Xenopus tropicalis: one gene and its partners. The protein of the gene in region 3 purifies or fractionates together with the protein of the main gene of each other region. This does not show direct contact. Links are inferred from orthologs where the notes say so. Each region holds a gene or a part of one and is shown on either strand. Other genes may lie near its edges.

The links.
Region 1: the proteins of sec13 (region 3) and nup37 purify together in Homo sapiens (affinity purification with mass spectrometry; 5 studies listed by BioGRID and IntAct, counting the BioPlex papers as one, with this or other methods). This does not show direct contact. The link is inferred for Xenopus tropicalis from reciprocal best matches to the Homo sapiens genes SEC13 and NUP37.
Region 2: the proteins of sec13 (region 3) and sec16a purify together in Homo sapiens (co-immunoprecipitation; 4 studies listed by BioGRID and IntAct, counting the BioPlex papers as one, with this or other methods). This does not show direct contact. The link is inferred for Xenopus tropicalis from reciprocal best matches to the Homo sapiens genes SEC13 and SEC16A.
Region 4: the proteins of sec13 (region 3) and nup98 purify together in Homo sapiens (affinity purification with mass spectrometry; 4 studies listed by BioGRID and IntAct, counting the BioPlex papers as one, with this or other methods). This does not show direct contact. The link is inferred for Xenopus tropicalis from reciprocal best matches to the Homo sapiens genes SEC13 and NUP98.
Region 5: the proteins of sec13 (region 3) and nup107 purify together in Homo sapiens (affinity purification with mass spectrometry; 8 studies listed by BioGRID and IntAct, counting the BioPlex papers as one, with this or other methods). This does not show direct contact. The link is inferred for Xenopus tropicalis from reciprocal best matches to the Homo sapiens genes SEC13 and NUP107.
Region 6: the proteins of sec13 (region 3) and nup160 purify together in Homo sapiens (affinity purification with mass spectrometry; 4 studies listed by BioGRID and IntAct, counting the BioPlex papers as one, with this or other methods). This does not show direct contact. The link is inferred for Xenopus tropicalis from reciprocal best matches to the Homo sapiens genes SEC13 and NUP160.
Region 7: the proteins of sec13 (region 3) and nup43 purify together in Homo sapiens (affinity purification with mass spectrometry; 3 studies listed by BioGRID and IntAct, counting the BioPlex papers as one, with this or other methods). This does not show direct contact. The link is inferred for Xenopus tropicalis from reciprocal best matches to the Homo sapiens genes SEC13 and NUP43.

Annotation. Positions count from the first base shown.
Region 1 is NC_030679.2:49,117,406-49,119,602, forward strand, and holds the end of nup37 (nucleoporin Nup37), read right to left. Parts: intron 1,277-2,197; coding exon 1,163-1,276; 3' UTR 501-1,162; downstream 1-500. UniProt on the Homo sapiens protein: Component of the Nup107-160 subcomplex of the nuclear pore complex (NPC). The Nup107-160 subcomplex is required for the assembly of a functional NPC.
Region 2 is NC_030684.2:6,531,904-6,535,403, forward strand, and holds part of sec16a (protein transport protein Sec16A), read right to left. Parts: intron 3,265-3,500; coding exon 3,175-3,264; intron 2,939-3,174; coding exon 2,882-2,938; intron 2,799-2,881; coding exon 2,687-2,798; intron 898-2,686; coding exon 760-897; intron 664-759; coding exon 572-663; intron 485-571; coding exon 434-484; intron 1-433. UniProt on the Homo sapiens protein: Acts as a molecular scaffold that plays a key role in the organization of the endoplasmic reticulum exit sites (ERES), also known as transitional endoplasmic reticulum (tER).
Region 3 is NC_030680.2:131,808,915-131,813,068, forward strand, and holds the start of sec13 (protein SEC13 homolog), read right to left. Parts: upstream 2,801-4,154; 5' UTR 2,598-2,800; coding exon 2,595-2,597; intron 1-2,594. UniProt on the Homo sapiens protein: Functions as a component of the nuclear pore complex (NPC) and the COPII coat. At the endoplasmic reticulum, SEC13 is involved in the biogenesis of COPII-coated vesicles.
Region 4 is NC_030678.2:177,452,780-177,456,279, forward strand, and holds part of nup98 (nuclear pore complex protein Nup98-Nup96), read right to left. Parts: intron 2,934-3,500; coding exon 2,849-2,933; coding exon of another isoform or gene 2,798-2,848; intron 644-2,797; coding exon 551-643; intron 278-550; coding exon 137-277; intron 17-136; coding exon 1-16. UniProt on the Homo sapiens protein: Plays a role in the nuclear pore complex (NPC) assembly and/or maintenance. NUP98 and NUP96 are involved in the bidirectional transport across the NPC. May anchor NUP153 and TPR to the NPC.
Region 5 is NC_030679.2:58,822,486-58,826,632, reverse strand, and holds the start of nup107 (nuclear pore complex protein Nup107), read right to left. Parts: upstream 2,801-4,147; 5' UTR 2,743-2,800; coding exon 2,645-2,742; intron 2,519-2,644; coding exon 2,427-2,518; intron 1,547-2,426; coding exon 1,466-1,546; intron 494-1,465; coding exon 378-493; intron 1-377. UniProt on the Homo sapiens protein: Plays a role in the nuclear pore complex (NPC) assembly and/or maintenance. Required for the assembly of peripheral proteins into the NPC. May anchor NUP62 to the NPC. Involved in nephrogenesis.
Region 6 is NC_030680.2:15,991,165-15,994,664, reverse strand, and holds part of nup160 (nuclear pore complex protein Nup160), read right to left. Parts: coding exon 3,387-3,500; intron 3,135-3,386; coding exon 3,019-3,134; intron 2,940-3,018; coding exon 2,782-2,939; intron 1,948-2,781; coding exon 1,814-1,947; intron 1,629-1,813; coding exon 1,561-1,628; intron 1,461-1,560; coding exon 1,292-1,460; intron 429-1,291; coding exon 359-428; intron 263-358; coding exon 164-262; intron 31-163; coding exon 1-30. UniProt on the Homo sapiens protein: Functions as a component of the nuclear pore complex (NPC). Involved in poly(A)+ RNA transport.
Region 7 is NC_030681.2:58,289,835-58,294,123, reverse strand, and holds the start of nup43 (nucleoporin Nup43), read left to right. Parts: upstream 1-1,489; 5' UTR 1,490-1,782; coding exon 1,783-1,905; intron 1,906-2,727; coding exon 2,728-2,850; intron 2,851-4,289. UniProt on the Homo sapiens protein: Component of the Nup107-160 subcomplex of the nuclear pore complex (NPC). The Nup107-160 subcomplex is required for the assembly of a functional NPC.

The DNA of each region.
Region 1 (2,197 bases), on a different chromosome or scaffold from region 3:
GGCCACACAAAATACAGTATAAGGAACCATATATCCTGCTGGTCACAATATGACCCTTTTACCGGAGCACCCTATAGATCTGCTAGGGTCTCTGTCTGTGTTTTAAATGAGGAGTGGGCATGTCCTAACAGTTCCTGCCAGAAGCACAGCTCCTGATGGGCCTACACATAATAAACCCACTGTTGACTCAGGCTTACCTAATGAGCAGACATTTTGGCGTCGGCAAAAATAGCAGTATGATTTTGTTTGGGCAGAGTGACAGATCACAAAATTTGAACCCACTTTGACGTCAAAATATTCAACTTTGTTCTACACAATCCAAGAAGAATTGTAATGTGAACTAGATCTTAACATTCAATTTGGGGGAGATTGTCAGGATAAGACACAGAAAACAAGATACTTGTACATTATGATTAAACAGTTAGAAATGTAGCCATGCAATGAAAGGAACCAGTTTCAAGTGTATAAAAAATACAATATAAAAAATAAACAAGTTTTTATATAAAAATTAAGTTTATAAGCCTATAAAGACCAAAAAATATGTTGTATATGCACATATGTACATATTAACAGAAAAAGCCATTGTTCTTTAACAGCTACTGATGTTGGTAGTCGACAGTAATGTTTTTCATTCAGGGCTTTGGCAAGATATTCTCAGTACTAAAGCCGTGTGTACTTTTTCAGCATTATGTTCCCCTATCAATGTCCTCCCTGTGCAGCTATAAAACTTGCTGTCACTGATCTTCAGCATATAGATTTAGTCTATTTGCAGCACTTTATGAAAAATGTTCTTCCTGGAAAGTCAGTATGCAATTTTTCATTTGAACAAAAATGTAATATGTAAAGGCAACTTTAATCACCTTGGACTTATGGAGTAGTTTGTCTTGGCTCCATGTAAGTGTCTTAAGGGGCCTAAGAAATTAGTTATGGGTACAGAAGGTGCCTCATGACCTACAACTTTGCTCATAAATTAAAGCGACAATTATATCAGTGTTCTGAACGAGTGGTGTTGGTTATTTAGGTCCATTCATATCCTTTGTTTTGAAGACCAAAACATTAAATAAGACAGATTGTAGATGAACATAATCATGCCCTGTCCAAGAAGTTACATTTACAAAAAAACATTTTAGAAACCGTTACAGTAAAGGTTATTTTTTTTTTTTTACATTTCTGTGAGCCAGAAGAATAGCTTGCGGTATCCCCCCACAACACAAAGAGGGAGTCTTCTGTGCCAGCTTAGTCCAGATCCCACAGGGGCAGTCCCAATAAGAATCGGCTAAAGAGAAAAATTGTTACAGTACATGTTACATTGCATGTCTGATTTTCTAATTCATATATATAACGGTTATAAAGGCTCTGAAGCCTAAAAAAGCATTTACACTCTCATGCAGAAAATCTACAATTAAGAAAATGTAAAATGTATTGGAAATAAATCACAACAGGAGTGGCTATTCTAAAGGCAAATTGCAACTTGGTTCACATAGGATTCTGTGCGAAAGTCTGAGTATTATAATCATAATAATAATTCCCATAGTCATAATAATAATGCTGTCTACTGAAATTTAGACCTGAGAATTACCAAGGTTGGCCAATCACTCTTAGATAAGGGTGGGGGTAGTTTAACAAATTACAAGATTACTAATAATCCTGAAAAAGAATTATATTTAACTTCATGGAGTTTATGTAAAGACTTGCATAGAAACCAGCTCAGTTATTTAAATTTCTCCATAAACTTGTGTTATCATCTTTGTAAACACCAAACCCAGAACTTTAATCAACCTAATCAAGTTCAGTTACATTTTCCTGAAAATTCTACCTGTGGCTTGAAAATGCATGGGAAGTAAAGACAAACATGTAATGATGCTCCACTATGCAATTTAGATCAATATGTTTTTAAAACTCAGTTTACCTTGTCATTAACATCTAGTTTGATGCCTTAAAGTGATACTGACATGAAAAAACTACTTTTTAAAATATGAATCTACATAAAAAGTTACCTATAAGTCATGTTGATCAATTTTCACTGATAGGGCTGCCTGTGTGAGTAATTGTTACTTCAAGTTCCCAAACCTGACTGTTTTGCCAACCTGACTGTCCCTTCTCAGCCTGTCAGTTACAGCTTCTAATGCTAACAGACCCCTGCTGCACAAATATGGCCGCCCCCTCATAGAGAAACATGGGGGATCAGATAGGAAAT
Region 2 (3,500 bases), on a different chromosome or scaffold from region 3:
ACCGAAATAATTAAAAAACTACAAATAATAAAAAATAAAGACCAATTGCAAATTGTCTCAGAATATTACTCTCTACATCATACTAAACGTTAACTCAAGGGTGAACATGAAGGGGGGGGCGATATAACTGCTTAAAGTGCCAACCTGCGGCTGCTGTTGTACTGCAACATCCCAGCAAGGCTGGCAAGGGATGCTGGGAGTTGGGAGGTTGCACTTCCCTGATAGGCAGGGAATGAATGAAATAGTGACGGAAGGTCTCTGCCCGGCCAGCATTAGAGCGCAGGCAGCACAGCACACTCACACACAGTAACCGGACCCGGATGAGGGAGATGAAAGTTCTAATGTTACATGTTCTGGTTAAATGGGGGGGGGGGGGGGGATGGGGCTCCTCGGATAACGGACACCAGCTGGGTATCATTGTTTTGCTTCTTACCTCTCCCATTTGCCCCTCGTCCTGATCCAACCCAGGGGTCAAACCGGGCAACTATGAAATAGACAGAAAATATATGGATAAGCGCCATTTAAATCTCTTAAAGGGGTAGTACAAGCTAAAAAGCAGCAGCAGCGGTACCTGCGCCTGGGGAGGGTTAATGGGCCCCATCTGGCCGGCTGCTGGTACCATTTCTGCCCCGCTGGCTTCCGCAGGGTGGGCTTCCTCCGGCACTGTCATTAATAGAAAGCAGTCGTGTTATCCAGATACCCCCAAGCCAGGGATACTATCTACCCCACACTCTATGGTATGGGAACTCAGATTCCTACCTGCGTTTGGGACAAAGAGGTTTGTGGGGATGGGCATGGGGGCCAAAGGTGCAAACAAGTCCGCAGGCGGAGGGACAGAGTTGGTAGGCCGGGGACCCCCCGGGTTTAACACATCGACATAACGACCTCTTGCCCCCGCTGGAAAGAGAAAAAAAAAACGTTATTCGAAGTGAAAAAATTGCCAATATCATAAAAAAACAGGAGGGAGGGCTGATTTACCCTTTAAAGCCATTTCTCTACCTTTAGATGTAGAAAATGCTATTGCAATTGGTCTTGATTTTTTTTATTATTTGTGGTTTTTGAACTATTAAGCTTTTTGTTCAGCAGCTCTCCAGTTTGGAATTTCAGGCGATATCTGGTTGCTAGGGTGCAGTTTAACCTAGCAACTAGGCAGTGATTGGAAAAGGAGACACATTTGAATAGGGGAGGGTCTAGATAGACAAATAAGTAATAAAAAGTAACAATAAAACTGGAGCCTCACACAGCGATAGTGATTTGGCTGCCGGGGTCAGTGACCCCCATTTGAAAGCTGGAAAGAGGCAGAAGAGAAAGGCAAATAGTTCAAAAACTATAGAAAAAAATAAATAAAATGAGGACCAACTGAAATGTTGCTAAGAATAGGCCATTCTATAACAGATTAAAAGTTAACCTAAAGGTAAAATATTATAGAAAGGCCAATTCTAAGCAACTTTTCAATTGGCCTTCATTATTTATTTTTTATAGTTTTTCTATTATTTACCTTCTTTTTCTCTTTGCAGCTTTCAAATGGGGGTCACTGACCCCGGCAGCCAAACCCTATTGCTCTGTGAGGCTCCAGTTTTATTGTTATTGTAACTTTTTATTCCTTATCTTTCTATTCAGCCCCTCTCCTATTCATATACCAGTCTCTCATTCAAACCACTCCCTGGTTGCTAAGGTAATTTGAGCCCTAGCAACAGGATAACTGACCCCGGCAGCCAAAACCTATTGCTCTGTGAGGCTCCAGTTTTATTGTTATTGTTACTTTTTATTCCTTATCTTTCTATTCAGCCCCTCCCTTATTCATACACCAGTCTCTCATTCAAACCACTCCCTGGTTGCTAAGGTAATTTGAGCCCTAGCAACAGGATAACTGACCCCGGCAGCCAAAACCTATTGCTCTGTGAGGCTCCAGTTTTATTGTTATTGTTACTTTTTATTCCTTATCTTTCTATTCAGCCCCTCCCTTATTCATATACCTGTCTCTCATTCAAACCACTCCCTGGTTGCTAAGGTAATTTGAGCCCTAGCAACAGGATAACTGACCCCAGCAGCCAAACCCTATTGCTCTGTGAGGCTCCAGTTTTATTGTTACTTTTTATTCCTTATCTTTCTATTCAGCCCCTCCCTTATTCATATACCAGCCTCTCATTCAAACCACTCCCTGGTTGCTAAGGTAACTTGAACCCTAGCAAGCAGACAACTGCTAAAATGAGAAATTTTCTGAACAAAAACTGAAATAATTCAAAAATGACAAATAACAAAAAATGAAGACCAATCGCAAATTGTCTCAGAATAGTGCTCTCTACATCATACTAAAAGTTAAACAACTTTAACCCAGGTCAACTTCAGAAAAAAAGGTATTAAATCAGGTTCTATCCTTTCTCCCAAAGCAATAGAGTAGGCACCATGGGGGCCCAATTATATCAATTATATGCCCACTGGTCAGATGGACCCCCAGATTGGTGGGGCTTGTTACAAAGCCCCTTTCATGAAAAACCAAACCCCATTCATAAATAAACCCACCCCACCCATCCAAACCCCACCCACTCCTTTACAAGCCCCACCCCCTTTATTGGCCTGAAAACCTGTTTGGTTTTTTTGGGGGTTTTTTTTGCCTTGGGGCCCCTGAAAGCAGTACCCCCCAGCAATGGCAGCCCTGACCGTACTAGCACCTGAGCTATATTACCTGCTCTGATGGAGAATACATTGACGGAAGGATTGGGGGGACCCCCTGGGACAGCTGGGGTGCTCTGAGGCTTTTTAAGCATCCCTGGTGGCGGCGGAGGCAATGGTTTGCTCTGAAAGAGAGTTGGGATGTTATGTTACCTGTACCCCCGGGTATATTTATAGGGTACCCCCACCCCAATATTCACCGGCTCACCTCTTCCTCTGGTTCATCCATGTTCACCCACTTCTGCTTCTTCTCATCCCACACAATCTGCAACAAAAGAAAGGGAGACGCTGAGCACTCTGGGTAATTCCTTATAATAAAACGTACTGCACTGTGATTGGCCGGGTGAAGCAAAGCAAGGGACAGAAGGCAGGGGGGCAATATAAGCTTTTACAGGTAAGTAGTGGGGTAGGTATCCAAGCAGGGCACCACCGGAGAGGCCGAGAGCAGCTGATAGGGGATACAGAGTGAGCGCGGAGCTACTAAACAACAAAGGTCCTTACAGATTTATTCCTGTCATCAGGTAAGTGCGCTTCGTTCTTGCCTTTTCCCATCAACCAGCCAAATTTCAGGGGAAACCAACTTCTACCACTCTAAAAAAATCATTAAAGATACACGGGGATCAGGATCAGTCTATCATTGTAGGAAGAAGTAAAGCACCGACGGATCACTGTGCCGCTTTTTTACCCTTATCACCACCCCTGGTCCCCCTACTCGGCTTATGTCTCAGGCCTACGGATAAGGAGGAGTTATTATTATTATTATATATACTATTATTATATGGGGGTTTACCCTGTGACTTTGCTGAAGAACCAGGGAAGTGAAAGGA
Region 3 (4,154 bases):
GGGGCCTATGTGGGGGACGCCCGTACACCCCAGTTCGAACCTGCCTATTTGGTCACTTACAGTTATACAGAGACAATTTCTGTGTTACTATCAACAATGTTAGGCACCCCAAGTAATTATAAACCAGTGCTCCTGTTTGGTGAAAACTGCATCAACCTGGGGTACTTCTGTAGAAGCACCATATGTAAACTACTTCCACTCCTTCCACTCCCCAGACCAGCACATGTGCTGCAGAGTGAAAAAGCTGGCTTTTTGCTTAAAGTTCACTCTACAGCCCATGTGCCTGATATGAAAAAAAGATTGTGATGTGGTGCTCTATAGAAGACCCTCGGTTTTGTGCAGTTTTCTGCTAAAAGAAGCGCCGGCTCAGGGTTTCAGGTACGTGATTACAACTTTCCTTCTCTTTAATGGATACTCTTTTGAGCTTATCATATTGCACAAACTGGCTCTACTCACTGAAGGACAAAGTCTACCGATGACTGTGCTGAGCAGCCGCAGATACAAGGCCTCCCCTGCACAATCCTGGTTAGCAATCTAGCTGCATGGAAACACTATGAATTTGGTGCATACCAAGGGCCAAATTCATTAAAGTACGAATTACAAGTACGATTTGCGAAAATTTGCATTAAATACAAAAATTTCTAATGTGCGTTAATTTTGTGAAAAATCACGTTGTGCTTGTACGAAAATATTGTGGTATGATCCGAAAGTTACGTAAATGGCGCGAAAACCTTTCTGACTTTGAACCTTCTGTGCATGATTTTGGAAGCCTCCCATAGGACTCAATGGCACTCTGCAGCTCCAACCTGGCCCAAGGAAAGTCTCCCATAGGGCTCAATGGCACTCTGCAGCTCCAACCCGGCCCAAGGAAAGTCTCCCATAGGGCTCAATGGCACTCTGCAGCTCCAACCCGGCCCAAGGAAAGTCTCCCATAGGGCTCAATGGCACTCTGCAGCTCCAACCCGGCCCAAGGAAAGTCTCCCATAGGGCTCAATGCCACTCTGCAGCTCCAACCCGGCCCAAGGAAAGTCTCCCATAGGGCTCAATGGCACTCTGCAGCTCCAACCTGGCCCAAGGAAATTCTCCCATAGGGCTCAATGGCACTCTGCAGCTCCAACCCGGCCCAAGGAAATTCTCCCATAGGGCTCAATGGCACTCTGCAGCTCCAACCCGGCCCAAGGAACGTCTCCCATAGGGCTCAATGGCACTCTGCAGCTCCAACCCGGCCCAAGGAAAGTCTCCCATAGGGCTCAATGGCACTCTGCAGCTCCAACCCGGCCCAAGGAAAGTCTCCCATAGGGCTCAATGGCACTCTGCAGCTCCAACCCGGCCCAAGGAAAGTCTCCCATAGGGCTCAATGGCACTCTGCAGCTCCAACCTGGCAAAAGGAAAGTCATGATACCGAAGCTTGAATGAATCCAAAACTTTTGTACTCGTTGCGACAAATACGATTTTGTCACAGAAATTGTTGCAAAGTATGAAAAAGTCGCTCAAATAAATGAAAATATCGCAGAAAATACGCAAAAGTTGTAAACTTTAGAAAAAATAACATTTTTTTGTAATCAGACCTGTCATACTTTAAAGGAACAGTAACACCAAAAAATGAAAGTATATAAAAGTAACTAAAATGTAATGTGCTGCTGCCCTTCACTGGTAAAAGTTGTGTGTTTACTTCAGAAAGTCTACTATAATTTATCTAAATAAGCTGCTATGTAGCCATGGAGGCAGCCATTCAAAGGAGAAAAGGCACAGGCACATAGCAGATAACAGATAAAACACTATTGTATTCTACAGAACTTATCGGTTATCTGCTATGTAACCTGTGCCTTTTCTCCTTTTTTCCAGCTTGAATGGCTGCCCCCATGGCTACACAGCAGCTTATTATATAAATTATAGTAGTGTTACTGTAGCAAACACCCCAGTTTTACCAGTGCATTATATTTTTATTACTTTAAAGCTCTTTCATTTTTTGGAGTTACTGTTCCTTTAATGAATGTGCCCCCTACTATACACATGCCCTTCCTATAACACACAGCCTTGTTATACAAAGCCAAAACAATCAGGGTTGAATGTTACTTCAGGCAATGTGGCCCCTCATTACTTTGATCCCTTATCCAGGCACATCAAGGCTGCGGATGGAGAAGAGAGGCCCCCTGAGATTGCTACCAGCAGATACCTGTACCATATTGTGCAGCACTGTATAATAGAAAGGAGCATACAAAGGGTACAGAGGACCCTGCTCAGTAGAGCTTACAATCTAAAAGAAGGGTGTATGAAACAGAACTTTGCAGAAAGGCCCTGGCTCCTGTTGGTGTCCAATTTACAGCCCTATAAGTATTGTAGAACTACAACCCTCTGCTCTGGCTGTGGGTGGAACAGGTGGAGGTTGGACATACTCGATGCATATAGATTGCATACATGCCCTCTCTGCCACACCCAAGCACCACTTTTACGCCCTGACACCCTACCTACTATACTGAGAACCTAAATGACGATGTAGGAGGACAGCCCTGGGTGCTGGCACACACTGAACACTATGACAGTAGGCAGTCCCCCAGAGCAGCACAAACTCCTGCCTACCAGGCGCTACTCACCATTTTCCTAGACCGAGTGAGGTTCCTTAGCTACAAAGTAACTCTCCCCTATTCTCAGACGTGGCAGCTCCCGGCAGCTCCTCGCAGGATCTTGCTCAGCAGAACTTCCGGGTGTACAGCGCTTCGTTTGCTCCGGCTGCAACAATAATCACTTCCGGGTGTAGTGCGCTGCAGGACCCAGCCGTACTTCCGTGTCCGTACTTCCGGTGCGCAAGTTCGGTCGGATTCTAGTAGTTTGAGCGCGTCACGTATAAATGCGTACCTTGTACGTGAAGTAAGTCGTTTAGGTCAACAAGACGATTACCTTCATTTATAATGAATTTTAACATAGTACTAGTGAGTGAGAAGTTTCAGTGTGTTACTTAGTGACTATTGACTGTACGTAGCGGAGAACTAGTGGCAAACAGCTTAGAGAGAACAGCATCCCTTCTGTGAGGCAGCCAGTATATCCACTGTATTTAGAGCAGGTTACCAATGCCAGATTATGTGAAACATGAGTGAATTATTTGCTCACCTTTTACAGTGAGCCAGCTACCAAAGCAGCTTGGGGTAGTGACTGGGTTACCATGTTTCCCTTGCTCCAGCTAGGCTTTTGTATGGAGCACTGTACTTACATGCTTTTGTCTGGATTGGGATAGAAATGCTCTATTTATATTCTGTTCCATAGAGAGACAGAAGCCTATCAAGTTCTGCGCTTCCAAATGAACCAATGTGCACATCATGTATCACACACATAAATGGTGCTATATATACGCTCCCTTATAGTACCTATACTAATGTATGTATATCTTTATTTATAAAGCACTACTTATGTATGCAGCGCTGTACAGTAGAATTCATTAATACAGACAGGGGGTTAATAAGATAATAATAGATAAATACAAAGTATAACAAACAGGGGGTTAATAAGATAATAATAGATAAATACAAAGTATAGCAATAAACACAGATAAATACAGCTGCAATAAGTTAAGAGTCGAGGACACAAGAGGAAGGAGGTCCCTGCCCCGTAGAGCTTACAATCTATATGGGAATATACTAATTAACTGTAGCTCTTAATGATACCAATAGCCTTGGATATTCTGCTTCTTCAAGAACTCATCCAGGCCCCTCTTATAGGCATTAAACAGAATCTGCCATTACCACATCACTAGGAAGAAAAAACGAATGGCACTCAGGACTACAAACAAGGGTAAAACCCTTTTAAAAGTTTATTGCGGAGGTGCAATTTTTTTGCACCTCCGCAATAAACTTTTGAAAGTTTTGAAACCCTTGTTTGTAGTCCTGAGTGCCATTCGCTTTTTTTGTTGCTACAGTGTTTTTGGAGGGTGCCGATCCCTCCAGCAGTGTGCACCGGACAAATTTTTTTGGAGTGTTAGGGTGTGCGGTTAAGGTCTCTGTGGTCCACATCACTAGGAAGGGCATTCCCCAACCTCACTGCCCTCACAGTGAAGCTCCCCCTGCGCTGCTTCAAATGAAATTCTGCTCCTCTAGTCTGAAGGGGGAATCTCTGATGTGTTCTTTTCTATGGGCAAAAAGATCCCCCACTAGCTGGCCATA
Region 4 (3,500 bases), on a different chromosome or scaffold from region 3:
GGATCAGACAGGGCTGCTGTGAGACACAAGTAATAAGAAGAGTTCAAGGCAAAGTAAAACAGCAAATTAAAGATAACAGTAAATTAGCCCTGGTGCTCAAAAGGTTAGTTTTCTCCTATAAAAAGACAGCACTCACCGACTGGGGCCTGAGGCGCTCCAAATCCCAGGCCTGCTGAGGTACTGTTAAACCCGGCATTGCCGAACGCTCCCGTACCAAGTGTACCAGTCAGCTTCGGCTGGTTGCTCCCAAACAAAGATGTCTGCCCGGGGTTTAGCGCTACAAAAAGTCAAGAATTAATTATTCCTCTCCTTGAACCACACATTGCAGTTTTCCTATATGCACCCAACTATTGGCAAGAAAAGCCGTGGCAAAAGCACATTTATAAGCAGCACAATCATGTTGTGCCAACAGACACAAAGCTGTTCCCATTGCCTTCTATGGGAATTGTCCCATGTGGTGCCCCCTAGTCAGTTCTGGCCATTATGTTAGACATCTGCCCATCTAGATTTTTTGCTAACTAACTATATTAGAAACATTTTTCAATTTTACCTGTTCCAAAGCCCGTCCCAAGGCTCGGCCCGATGGTTCCCGTTGCTGTCTTATTGCCAAACAGGCTGGTTCCTGCTGTGTTTGAACCAAACCCTTTAGGACAAATATAGACGGGTCAGCTCCTTTAAACATTTACAGTTCTAAAATGGCATTTGTGAATCACCAAGAGTAGAGAGGAAAACCCATAAATATCCCAATTTCAGCAGATCCCAAAGCCATTTAGTGCCAGTTACAAGTGCATTTCCCCTAGCGGAGCACTAAAGCCAGACAAGGTTACGCTCTGGGCCCTGCACGTACTTACTGGAATTGAGAGAAAGGAATCATATCTGGGTGAGGTTCTACAGAGAAATCGGACTTTTGCCCCCAATGAGAATATTAATCCTGCTTTTAGTGTTTCAGTATTTGCTATTCTGCATTAATAAAATCAAATCTTCAGTTGAACAGTCAATACTTGTGTAGCAGGGCCATGAAACATGTACATCTCATAGGCTCTAACTAGGAACATCAAATCCAGTTCATGAAATCAATCAGAACCCTTAGGGTGAAGGCACACTGGGCTACTAGTAGCAGCTATTTTTTCCAAGGCTACTGCACTCCAGAAAATCCCCTGCTATAGACAATATTGAGAATTGCCTCTGCTATAACACACATAGGGACAATTATTAGTGACCAGCATTGTCTAGTTTAGTAGTCACGACAAGTAGCTGCTCTACTAGTAGCTCTGTGTGTGTGTGTGTGTGTCTACACCCTTAAAATAAAGTGAATTTTTGTCACAAACATTGAAACAATCCACCCTTTTTTCTCCAACCCAAAGCCCAAAATAATTGATTTGGTGCATCCCTCGTTCTAACCGTAATGGGATAACTGGACAAACCTTTTCATTGGCATAGTCATAACAACCAGCACAGGATATATATTACACATGATCAATTATCAGCCCAACAAGCATAGGGATTGGAGCAGAGTTTGCAGCAGAGCGCCCAATGATTAGGGCACTGGTTTTAAAATGTCTATCACTTTTCCCAATATAACTGCAGGGGTAAAATTATGGGGCAGCGGAATGACCTATGGGGGTAATGGGGCAGAGGAATGACCTATTATGGGGAGTTTTGATGAAAAACACATTGAAGCTTCATCAGCAAAGCCAAGTGCTGTGGGAGAGCCCCCCCCCAGGATAAAAAGTGACCCTTTTAGGGTACTGGACATCGGCCAATCATTAAGTTCACTGCATATTAACCCCTTGCAGTTGTGCTTGCATTATTAACTCTGTTGAACAGACCCAGGCTTGAAATACCTCTGCTAGGACCCAATGGTGGCAATTAAGGGTAGAAGCCTCATTGTGAGCAATATCACCAGAACCCCAGGGCACTTCTGTGGGATACTAAGATCTGAGCCTTAGCGGGCAATGGCAGAATACCCTGAAGCCTCCATCAGCTATTGCCTTCTTAGAGGCAAAATGCATTCATATATTCTTATTTTTGTGTAATTTCCGACCCCCTTTCCCGCTGGAGGGCAACACAAACTCACGGTGCCCAATGCAAAATTAGTTAACAGACATTGATCATGCAAACATTAAACCTAAATTCAGGCAGAGAGTTAGGGAGAAAGTAAAGCAGGTAAAAGAAAAGAATGCAGGTAAAGACAATTACAGTTCAGTTATACCAAAATGAGAAATGGAAATGTAACCCTATATAATTGTATTGCCGAGTTTATTTAGAAGAGAAAAGGCTATAAAACTCCCTCTTAGAGTGCGAGAGGTGAAGTGCTCGGATACACTGTGTATACCACACTAGGAGGCTTCACTAGGTTAGTAGTGATAGTGCACACGTGGCCATGCCAGGCACCAATAACCTGTGAACTGCAGCAGAGAAAATCAGAGGATTGTGGGTAAGCCGAACATTACCGTGCATGAACGCCACACATTGGGGCAATAACTAGCGCTTATGTTGGCAAACTCCAAGCTGTTCCATTGCACGGAATGATGAAAGCTCTGGGCACGGCGAGGGACATGCATTATGCCAGGTAAGGCAATAGCCTATTATACTGACAGTAGGTGCAATAGCATTCCACTTGGCACTAATAGGAGATTAGGCGGAGATTACAGAGATTCTCCTGCTAGTTAAGCAGTTAGTCTGTGCAGTCCTAGCGCTGCCCGATATCCATCTGCGTTTAGTCTGGCGCAGCGGGACAGGTGGTATACCCAGTGTAATGTTAGAGATTACATCAGGTTTGTTTTCTCATATGTACCAAAATTGGAAGTGTTTGTATTGGTTCCTAAAGTCAGGGTTGGTTTGTTACCAAAGAGCCCGCCAGTCGTAGTGCCAAATGCAGGGGCACTGGTCGTGGTCGTCCCGAAACCAGCAGGTTTGTTACCAAACAGGGTCTGGAAGGGGAAGAGAGAGACAAAAGTTACTTTCATTTAACTATACGACTGCCAAGCTGGGTCCAAATACACGAAAGGCAACATCTGTAGCATAACTGCCCCTCCCTTAAAGATCTATCATTTACTTCCTAACAGTCCTTTCCTCAAAGATTCCAGCAGGCTCTGCTATTGTTCTCACATGTTCCATTCAATTGATCTGCTGGCTTCATACTATTTGCAAATGATTCCATTTTCTTTTCATTTACATTAAGACATTTTAAAACTCGGTTTCCATGGGAAAAGCCTGACCAACTTCCCGAATAACTTCCTAATAGGATAGATATATCCTATAGATGATGATACAGATAGCAGCGAAGAGATCCGAACTCACAGGACTTATAGAATTAATATGGTGTAGAAGACTACACCATAAACTCCATATTAATTCTATAAGTCCTGTGAGTGCGGATCTCTTTGCTGCTGTATCTAATTCTTCACCTGGACCTGCACCCAGGCTATTGTGACCGATTGGCTTGAGTGCCGGATCTAATATAATATAATATATATTATTCTCAACTTTTCCCAGGG
Region 5 (4,147 bases), on a different chromosome or scaffold from region 3:
CACAAAATACGTATAGGATAAATCACATGAAAGAGAAACTGAAGACTAAAGGTGGCCATACACTGTAAGATTCACTGGTTTGGCAAGGTCACCAAAAGAGCGGATCTTCTTCCAATTACCCACCTTAGGTGGGCAATATTGGGCCAATTAGACAGTGCCGTCGGACCGAGGACCGCATCGGCTTGTTCATCCAATGGAAAAATCAAACCTGTCGGAATCTGCACAATTTTAGGCCAGATGTCAGTTGGCTAGGCTTGTCGGGGGTTCCCATACACGGGCAGATAAGCTGCCCCTAAGGCCTTAAGGACCTGAATCGGCAGCTGAAATCTGCCTGTGTTGTGCCGCCTTAATGCCTTCTGTAGAATGGATTGTCTTACCATAGACATGTTTGCCAAACGCCCAGGAGTCTGTACCAAGCGAGGTGATCGCCCTACAGTGCCCAGTATTGCCGAAACATCTGGTGGCCTTGAAGAATTCCAGGTTTGTGGCGTCACTAGGTAAAGGTGAAAAGTACATTTACATACCAGAAAGCAAAAAAAAAAAAAAAAGACTTTCACAGCATAAATACTATGTTCAGTATTACTTTTTTCTTATATCCAAACTGTAATAAACTGCAGCTCTGACAAAATCCTTAAGCCATATTTTGAAAAGAGAGATGAGCTTTCCATAGATAAGGGTTGTTTACTGTGGGGGATACGGGTTGTCATTCCCCCAAAATATCGTCAGAGGCTCTTGCATGAACTTCACGAAGGCCATCCAGGTGTAAACAGGATGAAAGCACGAGCTCGTGTTACAGAAGCACAAGCAGTACACTGACTTACAAAAAATTCTATATCTTGATCCAGGCCTGGCCACCACAGGTAACCACAAGCTTGTGCTTTCATCCTGTTTACACCTGGATGGCCTTCGTGAAGTTCATGCAAGAGCCTCTGACGATATTTTAGGGGGAATGACAACCCGTATCCCCCACAGTAAACAACCTTGATCTATGGAAAGCTCATCTCTCTTTTCAAGATATGGCTTAAGGATTTTGTCAGAGCTGTAGTTCGAGAGACCCTCTCTCAGCATTATAAATCTCATCCTCGCCCCCACTGTAATAAACTGCTGGCTAGCAGTGGGTTAATACTGCGGCTGTGTTAGTTCAGGTAAAGTAGTCAGATACACACTGGAACTTTTGGTATATTTATTAGAACATGGCAGGTAGATTTGGCCTGCTCTCAGCTTAACAGGAAGCACAAGACAGGAATAGGAATATCATCATCAAGAAATGGCAAAACAGCAAGAATGCCCTTAACCAAAATGTCTACACAAGCAGGTTACTATACAAACTCATCTGAATTTTATAATAACCATGACTGAATGCTGATATTTGTAAAACACAAGTCAGTGGGACAGTTTCTACAAGATGAATCAAACAAGCCCATGATTATCAACTGCAGACCCAGTTTATATATAAACATCTTACTGTGCTGTCGAAATAGTGTTTGTCCTGTTGTGCGAGATAATGGGCCTCTTGCTGGTGTTGCATTGCTCCAGCTCTCATCAGCTAGGCAAGACGTTAAGTGTGGCAACAAAAGCTTTTTCTGGAATCAGTTCAATATTTCCTCTCTAAACAGTACCAGGGAAACAAGCAAGCACCGGGAAAATATTAGCCGACTTTCCAGCTTAAAGTAACTAATCATTATTGTTGTTTGCGTTTCTTATTACACTGTAATTGCATTGCCCATGCATAGCCTCAGAACAAAAAAAGAACAAAAAAGTGCAATACTGGTTCTGTTGCATTCATGTAAGGCAAAAAGTCAGGGAGTCATGACGGGGAATGCCTAAGAGACAGGGTTAACCATGTTATTTGCTTTAGAGACATGTAGGATAATGTAATAAAGGCTTAAGTTTGGTCACACATATTAACCCATAGCAGTAAGTGCTACATGCTGATTGGCTCCTATGGATTACAAGACAAGACGCATTTATTAAATTAACCCATCAAAGACAATAAAAGGCCTATTACTGTGTTTTTGGTGCAGGTACTGCTATCAAACATCTGTGGTCCATAAACAGCCTGTTAATATTAATAAAAACCCACCCAACCTACTCCTACGATGGGTTATTTCCTTAATTAGAGTAATACTCAGACACTGCAAACTTAAATATACTATCACATTTAATCAACACAGATTTAAAAATGAAGCCTTAACCATTTAAAACAAAGGGGACTCAATAAAGGAGGGGCCCTTCCATTGATTTTAGAAAAAAATGACATGCAAAACATAAACACTAATCACAAAGAAATTATAGTAATAGATAAATGACAACCAAAAATTTCTGTTAACTTCCAATGTCATTTTTGTTTGATCAAAAGCCTTCCCGTTTGATATTATTGGGGACACCAGTGATTTGTGATGATAGTTCACATTACAAAAGGATACCAGGATTCCTCCTGTTGGAGCTTTGGCGGCGAGCTGCTCTAGAAACCTCTGCCTCCCGCACTACCGGCGAAAGCATATCCATGCTGGTCCTGCTGCAAGAGAGCACAACACGGGGTCAGTCCTTCCTATGTTCGATGTGTATTCTGTGAGAAAGTCCCGCTATGATGCACACAAGGTTGCAAACATGTAACAGAAAAGTCTAGCAGACCGATACATACAGGCTAGAGGGAGAACAGTCCTTCAGTCTACTCAATAGAACGGGACTAAAACTTCTGTGAATAAGCCAGAAGTACCGAAAGCTGCAGAGAGAGAACATGTAGGTACCGTAAGCTCCCGCCCTCCCATTCAAAGTGTGCAGCGTACTGACAGCAGGGACCCTGACTAACCCCTAACTGAATACTACCCAACAGTCCCGCTTGTCGATCCCGATTTTCGTAACACAGCCAGCAGCCGCAGATTGCTACTTACACCTTTGCTACTTACTCCTCCCGTAAAGCTGTTAATTGCAAGCTCCTAGCCTCCTGTCTTACAGAAAATCCCGACTCCACATGTCTCCTCACGCGAGACTGTGACGTACAACTACACGCAAGCGTCGTGACGCATCACGTAGCCGCCTTATGGGAGTGACGAGCAGAGACAGTGCGCTACCCAGTAAGGCGGCGTTACACAATTGGTAGCTGCTAATAAGTAGCTTGGATTTGTTCTGCTCGCACTTCCTACTTTTGTTGGAGAACAAAAAGGGAAAAAAAAGACTCTTCTTAGGAGGTGATTGCTCTCCTCCACCTCGAATCTCAATATTTCCTCCAAGTCAATTATCTTTTCTGCTCAGAGATCCTTGTCATTGCCAGGGAGCTAAAAAAGAGTTTCCTGGTTGCTAACGGTACCGGCTGCCGTCAGAACCTTTTCTCCCAGTCTGACCAAAAAGGGAAGAGTTATTGTGAAAACTAGGGCCAAGTGAAATGAGGTCATGTTTTTAGGGGTTTTTTTGTACTTTGAGGGTTCTGGTGGTTTTGTGCAAACTAAGGGCTGATTTAGTAGAAGACTTAGAGGCAGGCCAAGCTTTAAGCTGGCGATTGATGAGACTAATAACCTTATAAACTAATAACCCAAAGGCTGCAAAATCTACGTTAAAGGCTGAATCGGTAGATTGGATACCTCCATATCTGACAATTCAGCTTTGAATGAAAGTGGTCGCAGGAAATAGCATAATTGCATAATTGTATTGCCACCTTTAGGCAACCTGGCCGACCACCTCACCCCCGCTGCAACCCCATCTGTGAATGAATGCACGTGGACATTGTGAAGGGGGGGAAGTGCTGCGCGCAAGGTGTGCAGACTTTGTGGGGGTGGAGCATCAGGGGCAGGGGGTAAGAGATCCCAGACCAGGAGTTGGCAAAAGCAGTACCTGTAGCATTCATGTGTAGGGGATCAGAGAACTCGATTGGCTGGATGTCCCAGTGCAGTCTGGGAGGAGGTGTGCTTAAGTTTGGAGCCAAAAATCAAGGGGCGGGTCCAGCAGTTGATAAAGGGAGCCCCTGTTGTTTTGCTGGTTTTTTTGGGAAGAGAGATACAGAGTGAGCAGCCAGTACCACTTGTTGTTAGTTCAGATTGAAAAGAGAAGAGTCTGCAGGGTTGCCAGTGATTACAAAGTCCTCTGTGGAATCAGTGTGTGTCCCCTGGTGAGAACAGTTATTGCTTGCTTGCCTGCTACGTGGGAGCAG
Region 6 (3,500 bases), about 120 Mb from region 3:
GGAGGCTGCTTGACTGAAACAATCTAAAGCCTGTGGATAATAAGGAGAAATTAACACCTACTGGAAAATAGGAATACTATGCTCTGTATCACATGGAGCTGGACCCCAATAGGTATGATGCACAAATAGAGTTGTCATAAGAATGTTATTAGCAGAGTTTCACCTTGTGTCCTTCTCCAGCAACCAAGTAACACTGGGCCAACATGAAATGGCAGGAACCAACATTAACTTGGCACCATGGTAAAAGCAGCCGGACATATTCCTAGATGAAAGGGCAAGAAAAAAAAAATGAACAAATTGCAGGATAATTTAATTGACTTTATAAAGTCATGTGTAGGAGAATAAACTACATCTTTACCTGGAGCTGTGTGTATTGGCAGTTTCTCATCAGGCATTCTGCAAACTGGAAGTTAGGGTTACTGGGCCATCTGGTATGTGGCTGGGGTTAAGGAACAGGACCAAAGCCAATAAAAGAACAGTCAAGAGAGATACCCTATCAGAGTTAACCAGAAAGTGAGGTCACAACTGTCCAATAACATTACCCTTTAGCCCAGAGCAAAACATTGTTTCTAACCTTCATTTATTTGAATGGAAAGCTATGACTGACAGCTATAAACATCTGCCTGCAAGTTTCCACTTTATTATGTATCAATTGCTAATAAAACCACTGTGTGCATGGTATTTTGGTTACAATTTAAACTTACACTTAAAATTGGAAGACTCACTTACTAAGAGCAGGACAGGGTGCAAAGTACGAGCACAAAACTGCATGTTTTTAGTACCTTGCACCCTGCCCCTGGGCACAAGTCTTATGTGAAGTGTTACGCCCACACCACAGTGCTCTGCGGATGGACCTAAGATTGGCTCGGTAAGATCCTCTAATGCAGGGGTCCTCAAACTACAGCCCATTGGCCGTATACAGCTCCCCAAGGTCATTTACCCGGCCCCCGCTGTGTCCTCGCCTCTGGCTACTACCTGTCTGCCACACGTCACCACGTCTCACCGCCCAACGCAATAGTTTGAGGACTAACTACAGTCCACTCCCCAACAGTCCAGGAACGTGAACTAGCCCCCTGTTGCCCCCCTAATGTCAACTGCTGCCTTGTTGTGAGGGCAAACTGGACCATACTAACTGGAGAGCTGCTGGGAAAAAAATGTAAATAATTCAATAACCACAAAAAATAATATGACACTATGAATATCTGTCTACCTCATACTCCCAACACAATCTAAAGGTAAAACTACTGTTTTTACAGTAAAATGAGTGCAGATGGCACACAGGCAAGGATACAGAAGTTGTAGGAGGTAGCTGGTAATGCGATGTATAAGATCGGCCCAGTTTAAAGATCTGTGCACCTGACTTGAACCAGATTGAATGAAAAGGTGGGCAAAAACTTGAGGGAAATGTTTTCTTCCTACATCTTCAAAAAACAATTCCACAATGGTCTGGATTCCACTGGCTAATGGGGAAAAAAATTAAACTGTAATGCATGAAGAGCGCTGAAAACTTTAAGATAAAGACTCCTTTAAGATAAAAAAGTTCAAGAAATCAATACTTACTGTATCTGCGCTTCTCTACTTGAGAATCAGAAAGCTCCAAAACTGAGAGGTGCTGCAGGTTGGACTCTCTATAAGGAAGGCAAATAGCGCTCTGTGTTTATTTTAGAATCAACAAATAGATCCGATTTGCATATATTGTCATGACTCAGTGGAAAACAATTGATGTGATTAAACACAATACTAAAATTATATAAACTGTATTATTGTCATTTTTATCTTGGAAAAAAACCCAAAAAACAAAAAAAAAACTTACAATAAATCTACTGGGACAGCACAGGCCAAACACTGGCTCCCCCAGCGGATCATGTAATAGGACAAAAGCAGTTGAGCGGCGCGAGGGATAAGTTCCTGCTGAGAATGAAGAAGCTGCCCTGCTCCAACCAGTGCCTAACAAAAGATAAAAAAAAAAAGGATCGGTTATGTAACACCCCTTTTCAATGGGATTGTCCCAATCCACGACAAACTAAAATATTTGTACGTATTGCCAATGACTGACAGGTTTTCAATATAGTTTATGTATAGTTTATGTACAGGAGAATATTTCAAAGAAAAAGTTTCTTTCACCAGAGGTGAGGGCTAATGGACCCTGCACTCATACTAGAGGAAACTATTTTAGGCAAAAAATGCTTGTAGTGAGTGCTATGCCACTCACAGAGAGAGAGAGGTCCCAGCTGGGGCAGCCATCTTGGGACTCAAAGCATGCAAATAATGAGGAGTGTTTCAGCTTGCTCATTGTGCATATGTGTGACATTGTTTCAGGGGAACTGTTGGTCTTGGTAATGTTGTTTGTACATAGACAGGAAAAAGAATTGTGTACAGGGAGTGGTTGTCATTGAAACATTCTTGAAGTAGGGTTCTTAGAGTTCTTAAATCAACTAGCAATCTGGCTAAGTGGCAGCTGAGATTCAATGTTGCTAAATGTTAGGTTATGCATTTGGAATTTAAAAATATGCAGCCTCTTATACCCTTAATGGGACTGCACTAGACAAATCCATTATGGAGAAGGACTTAGGAGTCCTTGTAGACTTGGCTGTAGGAAGCAATGGCAGTAAGTAGTGATATGGGAAATTAGGTTCTGTCCTGTATTAAAGGGGCATAGATTGGCGGGAGGACGTGGGCCACTTTACAGAGTGCTGTATCTAGAATATAACCATAAAAAAAGAGAAAGCTATTTTGTTTTTACAATTAAGTTTTTTTAAATGGCTGTGGAATTGTACTCACCATGTCCCCTAGCCTCAGCAAGAGGTGCTGAAGAATAAGCAAGTCCCGACATATTAAGAATCTTGTGGCAGAGATTTTGTAAATGGCTTGACATACCACACTGGAAGCAGTAACACTCCCATAAAGAGTAGAAAGATTCAGTCTCACATTATGTTGCGCTGAAACAGACCCATTAAATACACCATTAAAATGCAGTCTTTTATAAACACACAAAACTTTGCAGAAACCCAGACTTACACTGTTCCATGTCCATGTTGGTTTCATAATCCATATTTTGAAGCAAGAAACTAATAGCTTGTATTGGATTCCTGATGTCCTGCAGTTTATTCTGAATATTTTCCATGATGTTGTCTCTAGTGTTCATAAAAAAACAAACAGATATTTTACAGTCTGTATTTTACCTAATAAAGCAATTTAAATCAAATTTTACACGTTACACTTTTTCTAAATCAGGACAGTTTGGTTGTGCTTTTTTTAAATTGGTGCTGAAATAGTAACCTACAAGGAATATCCTGCTTACTGCTGCTCTACCATAAAACACTGTAGCAAGCAGGGCTTTACAGATGATGTGCGACTGGCACAGATAACAATTCTTATTTCCTTACATGTCATTGGCTATCAAATCTTCCAAAATCTGCTCTGCAACTCTCTCTGGTGACTGTGGGTGGCAGCACGCACTCTCCATCTGATATGCCATGTCTTCGGTAATATAATCTGCT
Region 7 (4,289 bases), on a different chromosome or scaffold from region 3:
TGGTGATAGGTTCAGTTGCCAAGGAAAGTAAAAGCTGTGTTCGGGCCCCAAGTGCCACCCTGAGGCTAATGCAAAGAGCGCAATAGCATAAAAAGTAAATATTGCTTACATAAACAAACTGGACCAGCTAAATTTTTTAGAACCAAATGTAAATATGCTCACTTAAGGGATTCAAACAGCACATTTTTTTTACTATATGTAGAAAGTTTATTTCTGTCAGGTGAAGTTTGTATTATTTTTTATTTTTGTGGGGAGGGCCAGACCATTTGGCAGTGTATACAAGAATTTTAGGAAAGTATATACTGTACATGGCAGTTTAGGGAGAGCCCATTACATAGCTAAAGCATTGGAAAAATGCTACCTTTTCATCTCTGCTAGCTACAGTGCTGTATTTAGGTTTGGTGCCTGTTGGGTTCACAGTGGAGTTGTGCAGGATAAGTAGAAAGTCAAGCTGGATAACACATGTAGCTGAGCTAACATTTAGGCATGCAGCTCCCTCTAGTGGTACACAACAATGCCACTCTAGACACCAGACCTAACTATACCCCCTACTTTGCAGATGTGACATCATTGTGCCCGTGATGTCACATACCCCTACGTTGTGAAAGTGACTTCACATGCTGCATGTGCGTGGTGACAATTCTGCAGTGCAACCCAACCCCCTACCATGCACCCCCAGCTCCATTACCAGATTTACTAAGGACTCTGGCACACGGGGAGATTAGTCGCCTGCGACAAAACTCCCTGTTCGCGGGAGTGCCATCCCGCCGGCGACTTACAAGTTCGCCGGTGGGATGGCGGGTCATGGCAACTCGGGGAGATTAGTCCCCCGCGAACAGGGAGTTTTTGTTGCGGGCGACTAATCTCCCTGTGTGCCAGAGCCCTAAGGCTGGGGGCATATATATATTTTTAAATTGTAAATGTAATATATAGGTGCATATTTGTAAAAACTGTATAACTTTGCCCTTCTCACCACATCCCTGCCCAATTTGCCTATTTATGTTATGATCACGTCTCCTTGTCCCACCTGCCCCTTATGTCACCGGCTCGCCTCTTCACTATGTGGCCAATATGTTTCTGTACAAAATGTGGCAACTTTAGGTACAGCCCAATGTGCTTTCCTCCTATAATTTATAAGGTGCATGATATACAGTAAAACCCCCATTTTACATTTCTCAGGAGACCAGAAAGAAATGATGTAAAATTCCAGGAAAATGTAAAAGCAAAGAAATGTATTATGCATTAAAAGTCGGTGGGTCCACCTAAACAGTGTAAAATGTGGGAAAACCCAAAATAAGGTTATTTAAAATTAAGGTTTCACTGTAACACAAACATAAGTCCCTCTTAATTAAATTATTAGGCCACAAGCAGGACTTCTATATGTTAACCGTTTGGTCTTGTATTCCTTTACGCTGTAAAACCCAGTATGAAAGGATAACGCTATATAATTAATAACAAAGTATGTTTAGCGCAAGCCATAGTCACTGAACTGTACTGTGGCAACGAATGCGTTAATAAACGCATTTCATTTTATTTCCTTACTCCGATCACTGGTCACCTCAGCGATTACTCTGTAGAAAGTATGGCGGGGAAATTATAGCCAATGAAAGTACAGTTTGGGTTGTTGAGAATTGCCAATCAGAACGCTTGTGGCAGACAAGGCGCCGTCTGGCGGCTTTTTTTCAGGCTCTGCCTCTTTTTTTCAACATAGCCCTGTAATCTGGACGTGTTCGTCATTAAGGGGGTAGTGGTGGCATAGCCAACCTCAAAATTAAGGGTGTCATGGACGATAAATTCGCTGCAAAATTTGTCTCTCACAAAATTAGCAGAACTCGCTGGCGCCCAGTGTCGGCCTCGTCGCTGCAGCAACCGGATGTGTTTGCTACGGGTTCCTGGGATAATGAGGTATGGTTGTGGCACGGGGAAATGTGTTTAACCAACATTCGGAGTAAACTAAAAATCACAATGATACGGCTGTAGGTGATCTATAATACCCTGAATCCCCTGCTGTCAAACTCTTACAGTTATTTAAACTACGGAAGAGCAGCATTTCCCAAGTATTACATGGTTAATTTAGATCATTGTAATAATTGTGCAGCCATGTGTTTGTACTCATTGACGTATTACCCTCTACAAGAAGCTTACAGTTTCCTGTAACACAAGAGCCCTGGGTACACTTAATGGGGGTTGGTAAATCTAGTCATTTTCCTAGCACAATTTTAATTATTATTGACACAGCACACCACAAAGTGCCAGAGTGTGATGTAGTTCCACTGATGGCTACAAATGTCAAATAGCACTGCCTTAGAATCCGAATCACGAATGGGAAAAAATCGTATTGGAAACGAAAATTTCGTAAGATCGCAAATATCACGTAAATGCTTATGACAAAATCGTATTAGTCACGATAATATCGGATTGGCGACCCGAAAGTCATGAAATTTTCATACCGAACAATTGTAAACAGCGGTAAAACCTTTCCGATTTTTTCGTGCAAACGTCTGAAAAAGTTGAGCGTCGTATGAAAAAGTCGTGCGGACGCCCGAAAAAATCTGCGAAAATACGCTCGGAGCGTTCACATGAACGCTCGTGCATTCGTGCTTTTGTAAATGTGCCCCTTAGTGTTAAGGCATATCAAAGTTTGATATATTTAGTGAAAGTTTTGCATACAGTTTTATGACATGTCAATACACTACATATACTGATTTTTTTTTTTTAATGCTCAAGGAAAACAAGGTATGTGTGTGGGCCACTTCAGACTTTGGGGCCATAAGTCTAGAAGAAGAATACCAAGGAGATCCTAAACAACTGTGTGACATCAGACACATTGGCGATGTTATGGACATGCAGGTACCTTAACAAAGGAACTTTTTATTTACACTACATAATTACATTCTGTTGTTTCCTCTACATAAGGATATTCTTATCTCACTAGCCAAGGGACCAATTGCCCCCATACTATATAAAAAATAGCCATAAAAGAAATGAAACTGTATGAAATCCCGGCCCTTGAAGAAATAGGCTATTCAACTACAATTTATTCAAATTCACTTTTCCTTAATAAGTTCACATAATAATTTTATTTATTGTATTGTCATAGTTGGTGCCTATTAATAAGTGGTGGAAAATGAGAGGGCCCTTTTGTGTTTGAACTTTTCACAAATCTTAAGACATCAGGCAAACTAATTATAATGGTATGCTAGTTTGGGTCAAGTCATAATAGTGAATTATTTGACTTCATTAGATATTGATTGGAGTAAAGGTCCCCATACACCTTCAGATTCCCTCGCTTGGCGATGTCGCCAAGCGAGCTGATCTTCTCCCGATATCCCCCACCTATTGATGGGCGATATCTGGAGAATCCAGGCTGATTTGATCTAATTATAACGACGGTATAGGCAAAGTTGGTTCAGGGTCCGCATCAACAAGCCGATGGGGTCCCCGATCCGACTAGGTTTTTTTAACCTGCCCGATCGAGATATTGGTTGGGCAGGCCCATCAGTAGTGCCCATACACTGGCGATTAGCTGCTGAATCGGTCTAACGGACTGATATCGGCAGCTAGAATCGGCCTGTGTATGGAGACCTTAATATTAGTGTCAGAACAGTTAATTTAACAAGTTTACAAACTTACTAAATAACAATTTTATGTCACAGATTGTTCAGGGCCCCTAAAGGAATTATGCTATACTTGACCTAGTGATAAAACAAATGCACTAGAAGCCCAGGGTAATGGTGACCATAATGTTATCTAAATGAATATATGAGTGTTAAGCTGCATGATATGTGGGAGTAAGTAAGTTAATAGGAATGAAGAGGAAGGCTTTTAAAAACTACAAGTGAGGGGACAGATGATTCTTGTAAAGAATGTTAATACCACAAGTGTTGTAAAGCAGCAATAGGGAAGGCAAAGGTGAAATACTTTTGGAGATTAGTCTTTGCCTGTGCAGCAATAATCTCCTCATTTTCAAAGTATCTAAGTTATAAAAAGATGTAGGTGTGGACTGTGGAAATGGAGGTGATTTGGGTATAAAAGACCATAGAAAGCAAATGTGCTTAAGGATTTCTTTTCTACAGTGTATACAGTAGAGAAGTTGGGGTTGCAAGAACCACTAGGCAAGGACACAGATGACTCAGCTCTATCAAGTCAATTGATGACTCAGGACATGGTACTGAGTCACAGTATGTACTGCCTGCCCTATGTTGCCTTTGTGTATGGCACAGGCAGCATAGGGCAGGCAGAGTATGGCACCCACAGGCAGCATAGGGCAGGCAGAGTATGGCACCCAC